Caenorhabditis elegans: one gene and its partners. The protein of the gene in region 1 interacts with the protein of each later gene in a pairwise test. Each region holds a gene or a part of one and is shown in the gene's direction. Other genes may lie near its edges.

What was found.
Region 2: the proteins of gap-3 (region 1) and F25E2.3 interact in a two-hybrid assay, tested with the Caenorhabditis elegans proteins (one large-scale study listed by BioGRID).
Region 3: the proteins of gap-3 (region 1) and C05D10.4 interact in a two-hybrid assay, tested with the Caenorhabditis elegans proteins (one large-scale study listed by BioGRID).

Annotation. Positions count from the first base shown.
Region 1 is NC_003279.8:2,007,064-2,012,768, reverse strand, and holds the start of gap-3 (SH2 domain-containing protein), read left to right. Parts: upstream 1-2,243; 5' UTR 2,244-2,289; coding exon 2,290-2,349; intron 2,350-2,511; coding exon 2,512-2,604; intron 2,605-2,670; coding exon 2,671-2,765; intron 2,766-2,809; coding exon 2,810-2,939; intron 2,940-3,998; coding exon 3,999-4,181; intron 4,182-5,202; coding exon 5,203-5,447; intron 5,448-5,705.
Region 2 is NC_003284.9:810,020-815,159, reverse strand, and holds F25E2.3 (Acyl-CoA thioesterase II), read left to right. Parts: upstream 1-2,042; 5' UTR 2,043-2,059; coding exon 2,060-2,086; intron 2,087-2,129; coding exon 2,130-2,245; intron 2,246-2,501; coding exon 2,502-2,556; intron 2,557-2,633; coding exon 2,634-2,721; intron 2,722-2,767; coding exon 2,768-2,895; intron 2,896-2,943; coding exon 2,944-3,009; intron 3,010-3,313; coding exon 3,314-3,518; intron 3,519-3,560; coding exon 3,561-3,758; intron 3,759-3,806; coding exon 3,807-3,907; 3' UTR 3,908-3,987; downstream 3,988-5,140. Other genes in the region: Intermediate filament protein ifd-2, read left to right, coding at 1-70, 211-687, 736-900, 961-1,137; F25E2.2 (Abnormal cell migration protein 18-like fibronectin type I domain-containing protein), read left to right, coding at 4,437-4,596, 4,645-4,764, 4,864-4,980.
Region 3 is NC_003281.10:6,099,210-6,104,581, reverse strand, and holds the start of C05D10.4 (SAM domain-containing protein), read left to right. Parts: upstream 1-1,719; 5' UTR 1,720-1,840; coding exon 1,841-1,876; intron 1,877-3,151; exon of another isoform or gene 3,152-3,172; intron 3,173-5,372.

The DNA of each region.
Region 1 (5,705 bases):
ACCATATTTAAATATTAATTTGAAAAATTTGAGGAATTCGAATTTTAAGTACCCTAATTTTCTTGTGAAAGTGGGCGGAGTCTAAATACCATAATTGACGCGCAAAATTTTGTAAAACTGAATACATAGAATTTCGCGGCATTTTTTTTTGTTTTTTGAAAAAGTTGAACACCGAGCCAAATTTTTAGTATAACAATTATTTTGAAAATTATATTACTAAATTACCAAAAAATTTTCCACGGAGTTCTGGTCTTCCTCGTTGAACTTTTCGCGCTCCATTGACAACCGCCTGCCGGATAACGCGTGGGAAAGTCGTGTACTCCACACGGACAAATACATTTAGTTTTACAACTAAAATCGAGCCGCGACGCGACACGCAACGCGCCGTAAATCTACCCCAGGTATGGTAGAGCCAAGATGGCCTAGTTCGGCAAAAACTCTTTTATTTCAATATATGAGGGAAGCCAGAAATCCGTGAATTTTTATTCAATTTTTTTTTTCAAAATTTTTTGTTTCAAAAAAAAAACGAAAAATTTAAAACAATTCAAATATCCTTTGAGGGCGGTAAACTTCAAAATTTAAAAAAATTTCTCAATTTTTGAATTTTAGGTTATATAACCGGTTATAAGAATTTAAAATTAAAATTCTTTTAGAAAAAAAAATATTGCAACAAAAAAAAAAAAAAAAACTTCCTCCGAGTAATAATAATTGGCAAAAAAAAAGAAAAAAAGAAGAAGCCCGGAGGAGCAGGAGCTGGTACTTGTCCCATTAATTTTCCTTTTTTTCTTCAAACAATAAAAAACAGCTGAATTTTACGGCAAAACTGCTCTAAAAATGTAAAATTTCATTGAAAAAGTAGGCGCAGCCAATACACCATGTGGTGTTTTGGCGCTGTCTCCACACGCAAGTAGTGCCAGGGGCTGTCCCAATACGGTTTGATCTACAAAAAATGCGGGAATTTTTCGCCCAAAAAAATGTGACGTCAGCACGTTCTTAACCATGCAAAATCAGTTGAAAACTATGCGTCTCTTCTCCCGCATTTTTTGTAGATCAACGTAGATCAAACCGAAATAAGAGACACTCTGACACCACGTGTACACGTTTAAACTTTTCCAGCTGTAAAAAATAAAATTTTCAAAAAAAAAACATAATTTTTAATCACATGTCTTGTTATCACTGTGTTATCTGTTATCACAACGACAATTTTTTTCACGAAAATTCTTTATTTTTAGGTATTACCCAAAATATTTGAATAAATTCCAAAACTTTCCGTGTTCTCCGTCCTCCATTTCCCACTTTCACAAATGGTCCATCATCCGAACTTCCGGTGCTCTCTCTCTCGCTGTACAAGAGACACAGAAAACCGAGAGAGAGACAGTGATTCGTGGTAGAGACGCAGACACATATACACACACACAGAAAAGTGATCTGGTGTCTGTGTGTGTGTGTGTATATTGTGAGAAAGAAGAAGAAGAAGACTGCGTGGGTGTAATAATATGCGTCCTTTTCTCCCCCCTTCTCTTTCGATTTCTTTTCTTCAACTTTTATCACTTTATTCACAACCTATTTCCTACCGTTTACCACCTTTTTTTTTGAGGAAACTTTGAATTTTTATTGAAATTGTTCAAGCTTGATTCCACGGAGTTGAAATCTACCAAATTCAAATTCCACTGCCTTCCCCGGGTTTTTTTTCCATTTCGATGGGTTTTTTAAAAAGGAATTAAAAAAAACGTTTTGTTTTCAAATTAAAAATTTAAAAAATAGACTGAAAATTAGCAAAACTGGGATTAATCCCACGGAGTTGAAATCTACGGAGTTCACTTTCCACTGCCTCCTCCGGATTTTGTATTTTTTAAACATTTTCTAGTACTTTTCGATGAAACTTTGCATTTTTTCACCTAAAATTAAAAAAAAAGTTTTCTAATTAGCTGAAAACGATAAAAATAAGAAAAAAAAAACATTTGCGGAGTTGATATCTATGGAATTCACATTCCAAAATCAGGCCAAGACAATTAAATATTGTTTTTTTTTAGCTTCCAGCGCAAATTTTCGAATTTCCAAACAAAATTTTGGTTTAAAACTCTAATTTTCTACCTGAAAATCAGGTTTTTTCATCGAAAATCATCGAAAATTAATTAAAATTCAAATTTCCCTCCATTTCCCCAGTACGTACACCGTCACGCAAAATTGCGTACCCGTCCGATTTTTCGCATTTTTTTGAATTTGTTTTCCTGTTTTTTGATGAAAATCAATAATTTTTTGGCATTTTTCAGGTGCAAATGAAAAGTTATGCACTCAAGCGAGAATACTACACCTAACAGCAGCACGGAAGGGCCATTGTTTCTAAAAGTGAGGGCGAAACAAGTGAAAATCGAGGAAAAAAAGGAAAAATTAGAAAAAATTAGAAAAATACCATTTATATTATTTATTTTCATCGAAAATCAATTATATTTACAGTTTAAAATATTCTAAAAAATCCTAAGTTAAAAAAAAGGAATTGTTTTTTCGCAGACTCACACGAACCCAACACCGCCTGATATATCGCCAAACGATGTGTGGTACCATGGGGAATTAAACGAACACGATGCCAATCATTTGCTTCAGGTTTCTTTTGCGAAAAATTACAAAAAAAATGGCAAAAAATGGCAAAAAACCGGCAAAACATTCCAGGGCACATCTCCCGGCGCGTTTTTGGTTCGGCAAACTGGCCAGACGAGATTTTATCTGTCGATATTGGATCAAGACGGCTATCCGAAACATTTACCGTTGGTTTTTAAACATAAAAATTTAAAATTCAAATTTTTTTCAGCATCCGCCAACTCACCCCACCTCACTACTTTTTCGAAGGAAAGCGTTTCGAGACCCTTCGAGATATTGTAGATGCCTATCAGCTGGCTGTGATTCCAGTTCGAAAAGGAGGAATTATGCCGATTAATGGGGTATTTTTTTGCCCCATTACGGTTTGATCTACAAAAAATGCGGGAATTTTTCGCCCAAAAACATGCCAAATCAGTTGAGAACTCTGCCGCATTTTTTGTAGATCAACTTTATTCAAGCCAAAATAAGACACTCTGACACCACGTGTGATACACCATATTTGACGCGCAAATTTTTGCATTATTGGATAATTTGTTGGATTTTAAAGTGATTTTTCAGAGAAAAAAAAGAAATTTATAATATTGCGCGTAAAATAGAGTGTCTTGAGTCTGTAATCGAGTAGATCAAATTTAACGCGCAAATTTAATTTAAAAAAACAATTAAATTACTCCATGTCTTACGAAAACACAAAATTCTGAGAATGTGTATCACACAACATATTTGACGCGCAAAATATCTCGTAGCGAAAACTACAGTAACCCTTTAATTGACTACTGTAGCGCTTGTGTCGATTTACGGAAGTCAATTATTAATCAATAAAATTAAATTTTAAAAGAAATCTCAAAAATGGCAAAAAAATACAATTCTCATTGGTTTTTTCGTTATTTTTTGCCATTTTTGTGTTTTCTTTTAAAATTTAATTTTATAGATTAATAAATGATTTCCGTAAATCGACGCAAGAGCGCTACAGTAATCATTTAAAGGGTTACTGTAGTTTTCGCTACGAGATATTTTGCGCGTCAAATATGTTGTGTAATACGCATTCTCAGAATTTAGTCTTCCCGTAATAATTTATAATTTGTGCGTCAAATATGACGAATTGGTCAGAATATCGATATACACGAATATAAAGTTTTGTAGAATTATCTGTAATAGTAGTAGTTTTTGCGCGTAAAATATGGTGTATTGAGTCCGTAATCGAGTAGATCAAATTTAACGCGCAAACATGTCCACGTGGTCTCATTTCGGTTTGATCTACTTAGATCTACAAAAAATGCGGCAGAGTTTTCAACTGATTTTGCAAAAAATTCCCGCATTTTTTGTAGATCAAAACGTAATGGGACAGTCGCTGGCACCCCGTGCATGCCGGAATTTTAATATACCATAAAATTTGTTTCCAGGAAATCCAAGAAACCAAGTACCTATGCGTTAGACGATTCGAACAACGCGAAATCGACGAAATGAACTCGGAAATCGGTGATATTCTGTCAGTTTGTGAGACCGACGAGACCGGATGGATGTTAGGACGAAATGAGACGAGCGGTTCCGTTGGAATTATTTTAAGATCACATTTGGAACCTTTGGTAGGGAAAAGTAGGAAAGACTGGAAATTTCTAACTGAAAATTTGAAAATTCTAGGAAAAAACTGATGAAAAATTACAATTTTTAAGCAAAAAAATGTTACGTTTTTTTTCACAATTTTCTACAAAAAATTTAAAAAATTAATTAAAAAAGGCGAAATTGTGCTAATATTACGGGAACACAAAATTCTGAGAATGCGTATTGCACAACATATTTGACGCGCAAAACATAAAAATATCTCGTAGCGAAAACTACAGTAACCCTTTAATTGACTACTGTAGCGCTTGTATCGATTTACGGAAGTCATTTATTAATCAATAAAATTAAATTTTAAAAGAAAACACAAAAATGGCAAAAAAAAATTACGAAATGTCATTTTTGAGTTTTCTTTTAAAATTTAATTTTATTGATTAATAAATGATTTCCGTAAATTGACACAAGCGCTACAGTAGTCAATTAAAGGGTTACTGTAGTTTTCGCTAAGAGATATTTTTATGTTTTGCGCGTCAAATATGTTGTGCAATACGCATTTTCAGAATTTTGTGTTCCCGTAATATCTAATGTAGGCTTTGGCGTACCAAATACACTTATTTTGGTACAAAATCGCGGCGAGACCCATTTATAAATTGCCTACCTAATGCCTGCCTGCTGAAAAAAAAAACAAAAAAATTTTTTTTTTTTGGTCCAAGCTGGATTTCTCCAATTTATTAACACTATTTGAGAAAATCGATAAATCTCGATTTTCGGGGGCAGAAAAATCAATAAATTAACACTATTCAAGAAAATCAATAATTTGCCAAATTTTTGGAAAATTCGATAATTCACGTGGTGTCAGATTGTCCCATTACGGTTTGATCTACAAAAAATGCGGGAATTTTTTTTCCAAAAAAATGTGGCTTCTTCAGCACGCTCTTAACCATGCGAAATCAGTTGAGAGCTCTGCCGCTTTTTTTTGTAGATCAGCGTAGATCAAGAGACACTCTACAACACCGCGTGAAATTCTCAGATTCCGTGCTTTTACAGATCACAGAGGTGGCCGATTTGTCGGATCTACCGTACTTCTACGATACAGTATCCACGGACATGGTGCAATACAGCCCCATTGGCACATTTCTGCTGCGTCGATCGTCTAAAGGAACAGATACCTATGCACTGCTAGTCAAAACTCAATTCGATTTGGTCGAAAAATTCCTAATTGTTGGATGTCCGTCGAGAGGGTTTAGCCTTGCTGGTAGACCATTTCCCACTATTGGACATGTTCTTACAAGGTATAGTTTAAAGGCGCATTACGGTTTGATCTACAAAAAAGCGGGAATTTTTGGCCGAGAAAAATGTGACGTCAGCACACGTTCTTAACCATGCGAAAAAAGTTGAGAACTCTGCGTCTCTTCTCCCGCAATTTTGTAGATCTAGGTAGATCAAACCGTAATGAGACAATCTGACACCACGTGAATTTCTAGGCCACCAATAATATTCAACAATATCGTGGTGCTGAACCCACGTGGTGTCAGAGAGTCTCATTTCGG
Region 2 (5,140 bases), on another chromosome or scaffold:
CCAGCTGAGAGTTCAAACAAGAGAAGACAAAAGAAGTCAAATGAAAATTTTGTCAAACCTGGAGGCAGAGGTTAGTAGACACAATTTGTGTAAAATTAATACAAAAAATTATTTTTTTGACCTAGCAATAGTTCTGGTGCAACAGTAAAATTTCCATTTTTCAAATTGTTTTTTTGAGTTCTCCGATTTCTCAAATCCAACAATTTACAGAATTCTTACATCAAACGTCTCACAACTGACTGTGAAGAAGAAAAAAGCCGTGTCCACTCTGAAATTTCGCGTCTCCGAAGTGATATCAAACGAGTGCATGCACTGCGAGACAAAGAACGCAGCAAGCACTCAAGTTCGTCTCAAGAGTTATTGAAGCGTCTTAACGGGTGCATTTCACAACACGACATTGCCATTCGAGAGGAAATTAGCAAGGCTAGACGTGACACAACAAACAAGAACAGGGACTATTTCCACAATGAGCTGCACGCGGCGATGAAAGAGATTCGAGACCGATTCGAGAAGGATTCACGTGCCGCCAGAAAGACATGGGAGGATTGGTATCACAAAAAGATCACGGAAATCAAGAAGGGATCCGAAAGCTATAGCTCAATACAAAACCAGGCAAGAGAAGAGATTCTTCGAATTAGGTCGATTGTCAACGAGTTCCGAGGAAAGCTTTCAGATTCTGAAACTATCGTGAGTTTGGGAGTTTGGGATCATTTGTTGAAACGTTATTGAATTCAGAATCAACAACTTATCAAACGAATCGACGACTTGCACTTCCAAGACAAGGAAAATCTAAGATTGTTCGAAATTGCACTCAATGAAAAAGAAAATCTAGTAATTAAAATGAGAGAGGAATGCACAAAACTTTCAGTGGAACTTGACAAATTAGTAGAGAACCAGATCGTATGTTCAAAATTTAAAGTTTTAAATTCACAAATTTGTAAATTCCTTAATAATTTCCAGAACTTGCGAAACGAAATCAACCATTACCGCAAACTAATGGAAAACGCTGAGCACCTCCGTACCACAGTTCAAACCCACGTGACCTATAATGCTCCACCGCCACCCTTGCCACAGTCAGGCCCTAGAACAACTTCCTACCACGCCTATGGTTCGGCATACAACGATTCCTTATTGTAACAACTTCGATTGTCATGTTTTTGTTAATTTTGAGTATTGTAATTTCACAATTTCAAACCACCCATGTTCAAATGTACGGCTTGAACTTGCAAAAGTTTGAAGAATTTATTTTTCTCAATTTTCATGTTATTTATATGTTTTATGAATTAACGAATAAAATGTTTTATTTTACTTTCTATGTAACCATTAATCGGATGAAGGTGGGGTGTTCAGTTTACCAATGTAGATCAAAAATAATTCAAAAAAATTTTTTTTGGTACTCTTTCCCTTTTTGTTTCTGAAACCTGATTATGAAGAAGATGTAGGCTTGATGATGGTTGAAAAAAGTGACGTCACTGGGGCAGGGTTTTCTACACTTTTTTCGAAACGCAAAAGCCTTTTTAGTTGTTCTTTATATAGCAGCTCTGGTGTTTTTTTTTTCTAGCAGGCGTATGTGATTTGAAGTTCCTCTTTGATCACTTTGAAATGTAATAATGTACTGATAAACTGTACACGTGAGGTCTTATGTATTTTGTTTGTTTGGCCACACTATACTAGGCAACAAAATTCCAGTTTCCGCTTTTTCTGACTATAAATCATTGGTTGGCAACTCAATATGCATTTTCTGCATTTCTGAAATTATTATAAATGCAATTTCTCAAAAAAAAAAACGGTTTTTTTATATTTTTAAATTTTGAAGTTTTGAACAGTATGAATTCTGAATTTAGTAGCAAATGCATTTTAAACTGTTCAAATTATTAGATATCACTTCCTGTTCTAGTTTTTTTTCAAAGTCTCATTTAGCCTACACTGTTGCGTCGTTATTGTTTTGTTCGTCATCTCCACTCAATGATTTTCTCCCCAAACTTCTGCGTCTCTCAAAACATGTTTTCGCGTACACAGTTGAAAATTTGAACTATTATTTTCAATTTTCAGATTGATCATGGCAAAACCGAAAGCACCAACCGAGGTATGTTAGGGTTTGTTTCAATTGCAATTTGAAAGATTTTTAGGGAACTCCTTTGTGCAACGTGGAGCATATCGAGTTTGAGTCAAGAGCAAATGATATAAAAGCAGGGCTCATTGATACTTTTCTGAATCTACAGAGAATCGATACCAATCTGTACATGTAAGTGTTGGAAAAATGATGTATTTTCAAATTTTGCTCAACAACATTTTGATTGGTGCTCGGAGACAGCTCAAACATTTTTCGGAACAGTCACTACAAAAATATCCTTAAAAGTGTAAAAAGTGTTCAGGCATGTGCATTATTAATAAAGTCTTTGACTCTGCTTATAATATATTTTTGAATGATGTGACATCACACGTCGCACAATTCCTGACTCGATCATCACAAAACATGAGAACATTAGATTTTCTTGCAGCGCTCGCCACTTGTTGAAGGGTCGTCATTCCTACAATGCCGTTTATGGCGGTCAGGTAAGAAAACTCAAATTTTCAATATAAACTTCCAAATCCTATATATCAGTTCCCACCGATCATCCTCAAATATTTAGGTTGTTGGTCAATCGTTGGCGGCAGCAGCTGCCACCGTGGAAGATTGTTTCATACCTCACTCATTACATAGCTATTTCATCAAGACGGGTCAGTTGATAACAGAAGACGGCAACTGTTGTGTTGTGTGTTTCAGGGAGTGTGGACAAACCGATTCTTTACATGATCGACCGCATTCGAGACGGAAGAAGTTTTTGTACGCGAGTGGTGAAGGCTGTGCAGGATGGAGAGGCAATTTTTTCTTGCCAAATTAGTTTCCATCATGTATGCTGGGGAAATGGAACAGAGAATAAAAAAAGAGATACTTTTCAGAAAGAACCCGATGCAATTAAACATAGCTCCAAAATGCCGGAAGTAACACCTCCAGAACAATTGCTTGTAGGTTGCTTCAAAACAATCAAGTTTTTCCATGCAGGCACCAAAACGCCTGCCACGCGCTTTCTGTATAGTGCCGCGACGGAAGAACCACCTTTGGCACTATTTGGTGCAAACATGAAGCCTTTGATTGTTCGCCATGGCGTAAAAATAAGGCGAGAGGCCGGCGTGAGGCGGGCAGGTTAGAGGCAGGCGTCACGTCCTGAAAACAGGCCCACCTCCCATGGAAGCTTGAAATATAACTAAAAAATATAATAACATTACACTGCAATTCTAGGTTTACTTTCCATTATTATATATTTTCCAGCCAGCTCGAGAAGCAGCGCTGGAAGTGCTCCGCACGAAAGAAGTCGATGAAGTCACCGCTGGTGTCATCCAACATTTTTTGAAAGAAATTCCAGATGCTTTTGAGCGAGTTTTTGATGTTCGCCCGGTCAACCCAGCCAAGTACTTGCTTAAAGAAGATACTGAGCCAATGTCGATGATTTGGATTCGAGCAAGAGAGAATTTGGGTTAGAAGTTCAAAATAATTCGTTTTCAATACTATGATTCAGGAGATGATCACCGTCTCCATCAGTGCGTCGCTGCTTACCTCACCGACTTGAGCATGCTCACCACGGCAGTACGACCTCATATCAGAAACGGATTCATCCCTTCAATGTCTTTTTCCCTGGATCATTGTATTTGGATGCATGAAAATGAGTTTCGAATCGATGATTGGATGCTGTATGAGACAATTAGCTCAAAAGCTGGTATAAAATTCTGTAAAATATTTTTTAAGAAATGGCGTTAAATTCTAGGTGGAAGTCGTGCATTTATTGAAGGCCGTTTATGGTCTCGTGATGGTCGACTTATCATTTCGACTGCTCAAGAAGCACTTGTCAGAGCTCCAAAAGTTTGACAATATTTGAATATTTTGTTTGGTTGTGTATATATATTCAATTTTGATAACTATAAAATGAATAAATGTTTAGAATTTTGAAAAGTAAGTACCAAGTTACTTAACAATAAATTAGTACCATCACCAGAAAGCCTGCATCTAAGATTCGAAGCTTTCAAGAAATCCGCGTTAGCGTAGTAAAACAATTTAGGAAAAAAAATACTAGCAGAAAACTGTTTCCCTAGTTTGAGAAGTTTCAGGACTGTGGTCTCGTTATGGTCTATTTATTGTCATTAAAAAATAAACATTTGTCATATAATTGAGCTCTATGAGCTCCCCATTTTGTTTTTTTAAATAAAGCCCGATCAATAATAAATGTACCAGAGATGTATTTGATACTCGCAGAGACATGTCCGATCGGTTGATAAATCGTTCTCCCTAAATTCCCCCACATCTCTGTTCCCCTCATGTTTTTTTGCATTCTTTACTGCACTTTTTGACATCCCTCACCCATCCCAGCTCCCCAAATTTTCATTCCTGTCTTTTCGACATGAACATCGTTACTTTCCTACTTTTCGGAATATTTCCACTTTCAGCTGCAATTTCTCCAATTAACCTGGAGAATTGTAATCCGGGAAGTTATTTTGTGGAAAACTATATCAAGTACCAATGCTATCAAAGTGGAAGTGTAAAGGGTTACAATATTGCTGGTGGGTTTTGAATTAGAAAATTAAAAAGAAAAAAAAATAAATTTTTAGGATGCCAACCATCGAATGATCTCACCGGTGTCACTTTGCAACAGTGGGAGACCCACAACGAAAAATGGTTCAAGTATCACTGTGTAATTGATGGAACTAATGCTCAGTACTCTGTGAAGAGTAAGTCAGGAGATTTTTGTTTGTTAGTCATGTACCCCTGTTTAAAATTTTGGCTAACTGGTAATCTAATACACAAAACGCAGTTACATAACTTTGCAGCCTGCCTCGACCCCGTAGGAGAAGTTCTACCAGTCGGAAAAACCCGCTCGTTCCCAGATGGAGAAACATTTACATGCTTCATAGAACGCAACAAGGTCAAGCTGAATCACCAAACAAGTGAGCAATACATGATTTATCATGCGATTGTGCCAGCTAACTATGTCATCGTTCGACCAAATGGTGATGTTGAAATCTAATGCATCCATCTGTTGTAATTTTTCAATTATTCCCATTGTATGATCCCTAATAATCTTTTTTATCACTACATATATGGCAA
Region 3 (5,372 bases), on another chromosome or scaffold:
TAAAAAAGGTGTTTGTGTAGAGTACTTCCTACCTTTCGTCTTCTTTCTAGAAGTGTATACACATGATGATATCTTTCTTCATGGATTTTAGTAGTACTGTGTGTCTGTGTCAATATACCTCCTTCCGGACGGATGGCCATTTATTATATTCTTTCATCATAAAAGGTCATATGAGGTGTCGATTATAGGGTTTAAATGAATAGAAAGTTCTTCTTCAAAGACAAGTCTTAGTACGGATGAGGACTAGAGCCTTTAGTTTTTTTCTCTGTTGAAGATTTTGTTTGAAAGTTTTCACTTTCCGTTGAAAATCGAAACCAAATGTTAACCATGTGGTGGTCTGTAGATAATTTATGTCCCTCTACGGTTTTTATCACCTTTGTTTATTATCACTGATCGTTGTAATTAGGCCACGGTTTTTATGTTGCTTCTTCTTCTTCCTTCCTTTGAAATTTTTTTTTGAAAATAGTTGTTAAAAACCTGTTAAGATCTTTTTTATCGATACTATGTATACCACCGTGTTTACCATACGACTTTGAGAAGGAGGTAAATGTTGATTTTTAGTTTATAAATGATCTTTACCATGGGGGAATGTAGAAGGAGTAAAATGTGTTGTATACATTGGAATTTTAGTATGATATGTGGATTTTTTGGTTTTGAAATTCTAAGTTGGCAGTTAAAAGTAGTTAAAATTTTGGATAATGTGAAAGCTTTTAAATTCAACAGACCCTCAAGCTTCCTATGCTTCTCATATTCAAAAACACCTCTCTATTTTTGTACATTGCAACTTTTTTGAATTTTAGGACTTGATGGAGTGCTACATATTCCCATATTGGGACTACTGTTTTTGATGGTTTCAGACAAATCCAAAACTTTTCAACTATTAAAATATCTGAATTCAAAGAAATATGTGTTTTCCTGCCACCATCTCATGTTCACGATGTTTAGTATAGTTTCTTTTAACAACTATATTTACAAAATTGTTCTATAAATATTTGTGCTCATCTCTGGTCCATTAACTCTTCTGCTCTATTGGGTTGTCAGTTTTTTTTTCCAAAAATATTTATTTTTTCTTGTTTTTGTCCATTATTTCCATCAATTTCCTTCCATCAATCCACTCTCAACACTTCCTTCAATAGTATAGTTTCCACACCTTTTCGGCAAATAAAACACACAGACACCATCCAAAAAATTCGGAAGACTTTGTGTTGCCACGTCATCTTTTTGATCGGAAATGGTTCAACGCGAGCTGTTGCTCAAGTGTCTATTGAGAAGAGTGTGTTGTGTCGGAAGAAAATACGCTTGAAATTTCTGTCCGATTTTCAATTTCGATTGCTTATGAGTGTGAGCATTATGGATTAATTTGCTCCAGTTTCTGTCTTTTTTCCGTTTGGTCAATTTCGATGCAAAATGAATGAGTTTTCTGTGACCAAAAAGTTGATAAAGGGTTAATTTTTCATTGTTCCTTAAAGTTTTGCGCTCTAGATATTTTTGAAAATGATCCTTTCTTGTTTTATTTTTAGCCAATAATTGCTCTATCAAATTTATTGAAAATTTATTTTCAAAATTCAAAATACTTGTATCCCCCACTTTCATTCTTAATCCAATTTCTGTCACATCCGTTTCTCATCAAAAATAAAAACGAAAAGTTTTTCTCTCACCTTTGTCATTCTTTTACTAAAACTTCCTCCTTTACCATTTTTTTAAATCAGAAAGTTCCAGGTAGCCAATACAAAAATCAAACATATTTATTTTTGAATTATCAAGTTTTATCACTTGATAATTTTAAATTGCAAAAATAGCGACTTCAATTGACAAACCACAATCAAGGCATTCGTCAAGGATGACGGCAAGACCATATGAGCCACCACCGGATTATGTGAGTTTTTAAAAAAATTTTAAATACTGGTTATCTTCTGTATTTACTGGATATATAACCAAAATTTTGTAAGGCATTTGTTAACTACACTTTTTAAAATAAAAAAATAATTAGATTAATATTGTCAGAACTGTAAACTTTTAAAAAGTTAGATATTTCCCATTACTGTAATTTTTGGAAAAAATCTAACATTTCTGGAACTTTTCGCCTGTAAGGTTATTATGTTTTTTTTATTCGAGAATGTTTTGAAAAATTCAATACTCCGTCTTGTAAAGCGGTTTCAAACCCCACGTTCACGTTCACGTCCACGTTCAGTATTGACCAAATATTAGTATTATAATTGCTCGATGTGGCAGTTGAAGTTTAAACTGTTCTAGAAAAAGTTTAAAATATACCGAAAAAGTGAAGCAAAAAAAAGTTATTGATGGGTTTAATTTTTTGGTAAAACTGACTATGTCGGCATACGATTTTTTCAACAAATGTTCAACCTTTCCCCCCAGCTTTTTCTCTTCTTTTTGCAACTTTTTCATGTTTATTTACACAATAATATGTGCTCTTTTTCTATATTCTTGCTTTCCCGCGCACTCTCATTTGACAGTAGTATGTTCATTTTCAATTCTTCACACCAAAAAACTGGTTTTCCCGCAAGCGGTATCTTTTCTTGTTGCCGCTGTGGGAGCCGACCCGGCAATGACTTTTGGCACCTGTTGAAGCATACTTTTTCAACTGTCTTTGTGTGCATGCAGACTATGAACTCCACTTGAAAATTCATATCGGATTTCGATAGGATAATCAGGTTGGTGTGGGTAAACGTCTTAGGTTTTTTAGGGAAAATTAAAAAATTATAACTTCTTTAAAAAAACGTATTTTTAAACTTAAAACTTTAAAGATCGTGTGTGTAGAAACACTCAGTTTATTGACTTTTTCAAAAGATTAATTATATTTAAATAGTCGCAAGATGATGTAGTCATAGAATGCAAGAGACATATAGAGAGCACGCAGAGAAAGTCGCAGTTTTGATATTTCTCGGGGTGTTATCAAAACATTTTTCCTTTTTTCTCCTTTTTTTTCAAGAAGCCCCTATTTTTTTGAAAATTCATTATTTTGATCAAAGCGGTGACATTCTCAAAAAAGGATGCCTTCTTTTTAAATTTTTTTATAAAAAATTTCTCTGTGAGCTCTGTATCATCTGTTTTTATCCACAGTTTCTCATAATTGACGGCTGTGCTTAGAATCTGACAAACTGGTACCAGACTACTAGATCTTCTTTTTCCTCCGTTTTCTCTTCATTTTAGATTCCTAGCAGATTAAGATTGAATCATCAAATTAGTGAAGTGAAACCGTTGCTAATTGTCTGAAACAATTTGTTTACTGGCAGCTTGCGAAATAGTTTTTTTTGGCTTTGGCTTTTTTGGCTTGAATCAGTTTTGGATAATGTCAAAAAAATTTTGCCGCTTTGAAATTAAAGACAATAAAATTTTAACAAGACGATTTGTCTGAAGGTTACAGAGAATGACAAAAGGAGAATTTTTAAAATTCAATTTTCTTTTCTAATAGAGAACGTACTCAAAACTTCAATGATATCATATTATTGACCCTATCCGATGTTACAGAAAATTCTGTTTGTACAAGATATCCAGATGTCATATGAACTTTATCGCGTCATTTTTTCTCACCCAACTCCCAATTGTTTGCGTTTATAGATTTTTTTATTTTTTAATCAAGACATTCTAACATCACTTGGTTTTTGATAGTTTATCTAAGTTGGATATTTTTGATAAGAGCCTATATACATATATGAATAATATTTGAACATTTTGAACGCTTAGTGAATTGTTTGTGCATAAATTAAAAACATATCGGAAATTATTTTGCTAAATGCTTTTTTTGTTCTCGAGAATCACTTTCCTCGCGAGTCATCATCATCAGAATCGTAAAAGATATATCAAATATCCGGTGTCGTTTTCTTTTCGAACTTTCTCCTCCTCCTCCTACCTCCATCACTATTCCAATTATCACAAAGGAACGATGAAGCGTTTTTTTTTTGTGTTGAAAATGGCCTCTCTCCTCCGATTGACGACCTTATGGCTGCGTGTGGATCATCTTGTTCCCCTATTGAATTATCCTGAAAGACGACGAGAACATTGATTCAGAATGAAAGAAGGAGGTTTGAACAACTATCTCAAGATGTGTTAGGCTTATTCTTTCAACTTGAATGATCTTGATTTGCACTTTTTCTTTGGAGACCGTTTTTTGGCATTTCTTGTACGCATTGTTCTCGTTGCAATACGTTTAATATCACAGATACCAGTGCTCACGAATGTGACGGGAAAAGTGTTAGTTTCCCAAATATGTTCACTTCTTTTCTACATTTGACAATGTTTTTCTAGTACTAGGTAGAAATAAGATATGAACCATCAAACGTCTCTTCAATAACATTCGTCTATTTGTGCAAATTTTGAATGCTTTCAATTTTAAATTGCTTTCTGTAATTCTTTGGTTTTTCGAAAAGAAGACCAATTATTAATTTTGAACCAGCTGAGAATTTAACCTAGAAATATTTGAAATTCTTCGTCGATATAGTTTTTACATCTCCCCTCGATTGCAACTTATCCAAAATGTGTTCTTCCAAAAAAATGCTTATCATTTCCTTTTCTCATGAATTCCAATCCAGTGTTTTTTCATCTTCCTCCTCCTTCTTTCCCTGTTTTTGTGTAGCTTCCTCTCTGATTTCTCCCATTGATAGTATCGGCTAATAACCCTATCATTTTTGCTTCCCAGTTCACCTTCTTCCGTTCGTCCACCTTTTGGATGCTTACCCGAAAAGATCTCATCATCTACGCATGATTTATGACATACCCCACACACAACTTCTAAAACCAAAACGCCCAATTTACATAGATAATCATTAATGTCTCATGGCTACTTACAGCTTGATGACCACCGGAAGTTTATTTTACTTTTTATTGTTAACTTACAATTATAGAGTTACGTCTGCTATATTTACACATATATGTAGGTGCCAAATTATACAATTTTTGTTTTAGTGGAAAAATTATCAGAACCCCCAAAAATTCACTTTGCAATCCATTCTATTCACTTTAATATTTGAACCTTATCTAAACTCTTCATACGTTCTTCTGAATTTTGCAACATTTTCGACCTCTTTGTTCTCGTAGATCAAAACTGATATTCTTTATTATTGATAAAGACCAATACGAATCGGCTAACGAAAACACACGCACAGTTTCTCACAATCAAAACCCGAGGCAACAGCATTCACCGGATGATTCCCAGCAGTTTTGTTGTGTATGTCCGAAACGATAAATCTTCCGAATTAAATACCTAAACGTACAAAAAAAGGAAATTGAAGAGAAGGGGAGAAAAGTTGTAGATATGTTGGTTTTTAGGCTACATATTCTGCTTCATCTAAGTACCTATCTTTCATTATTTCAAGTAAAAATTATTTTGAATGTATAACTGCCTGCCTATGTTC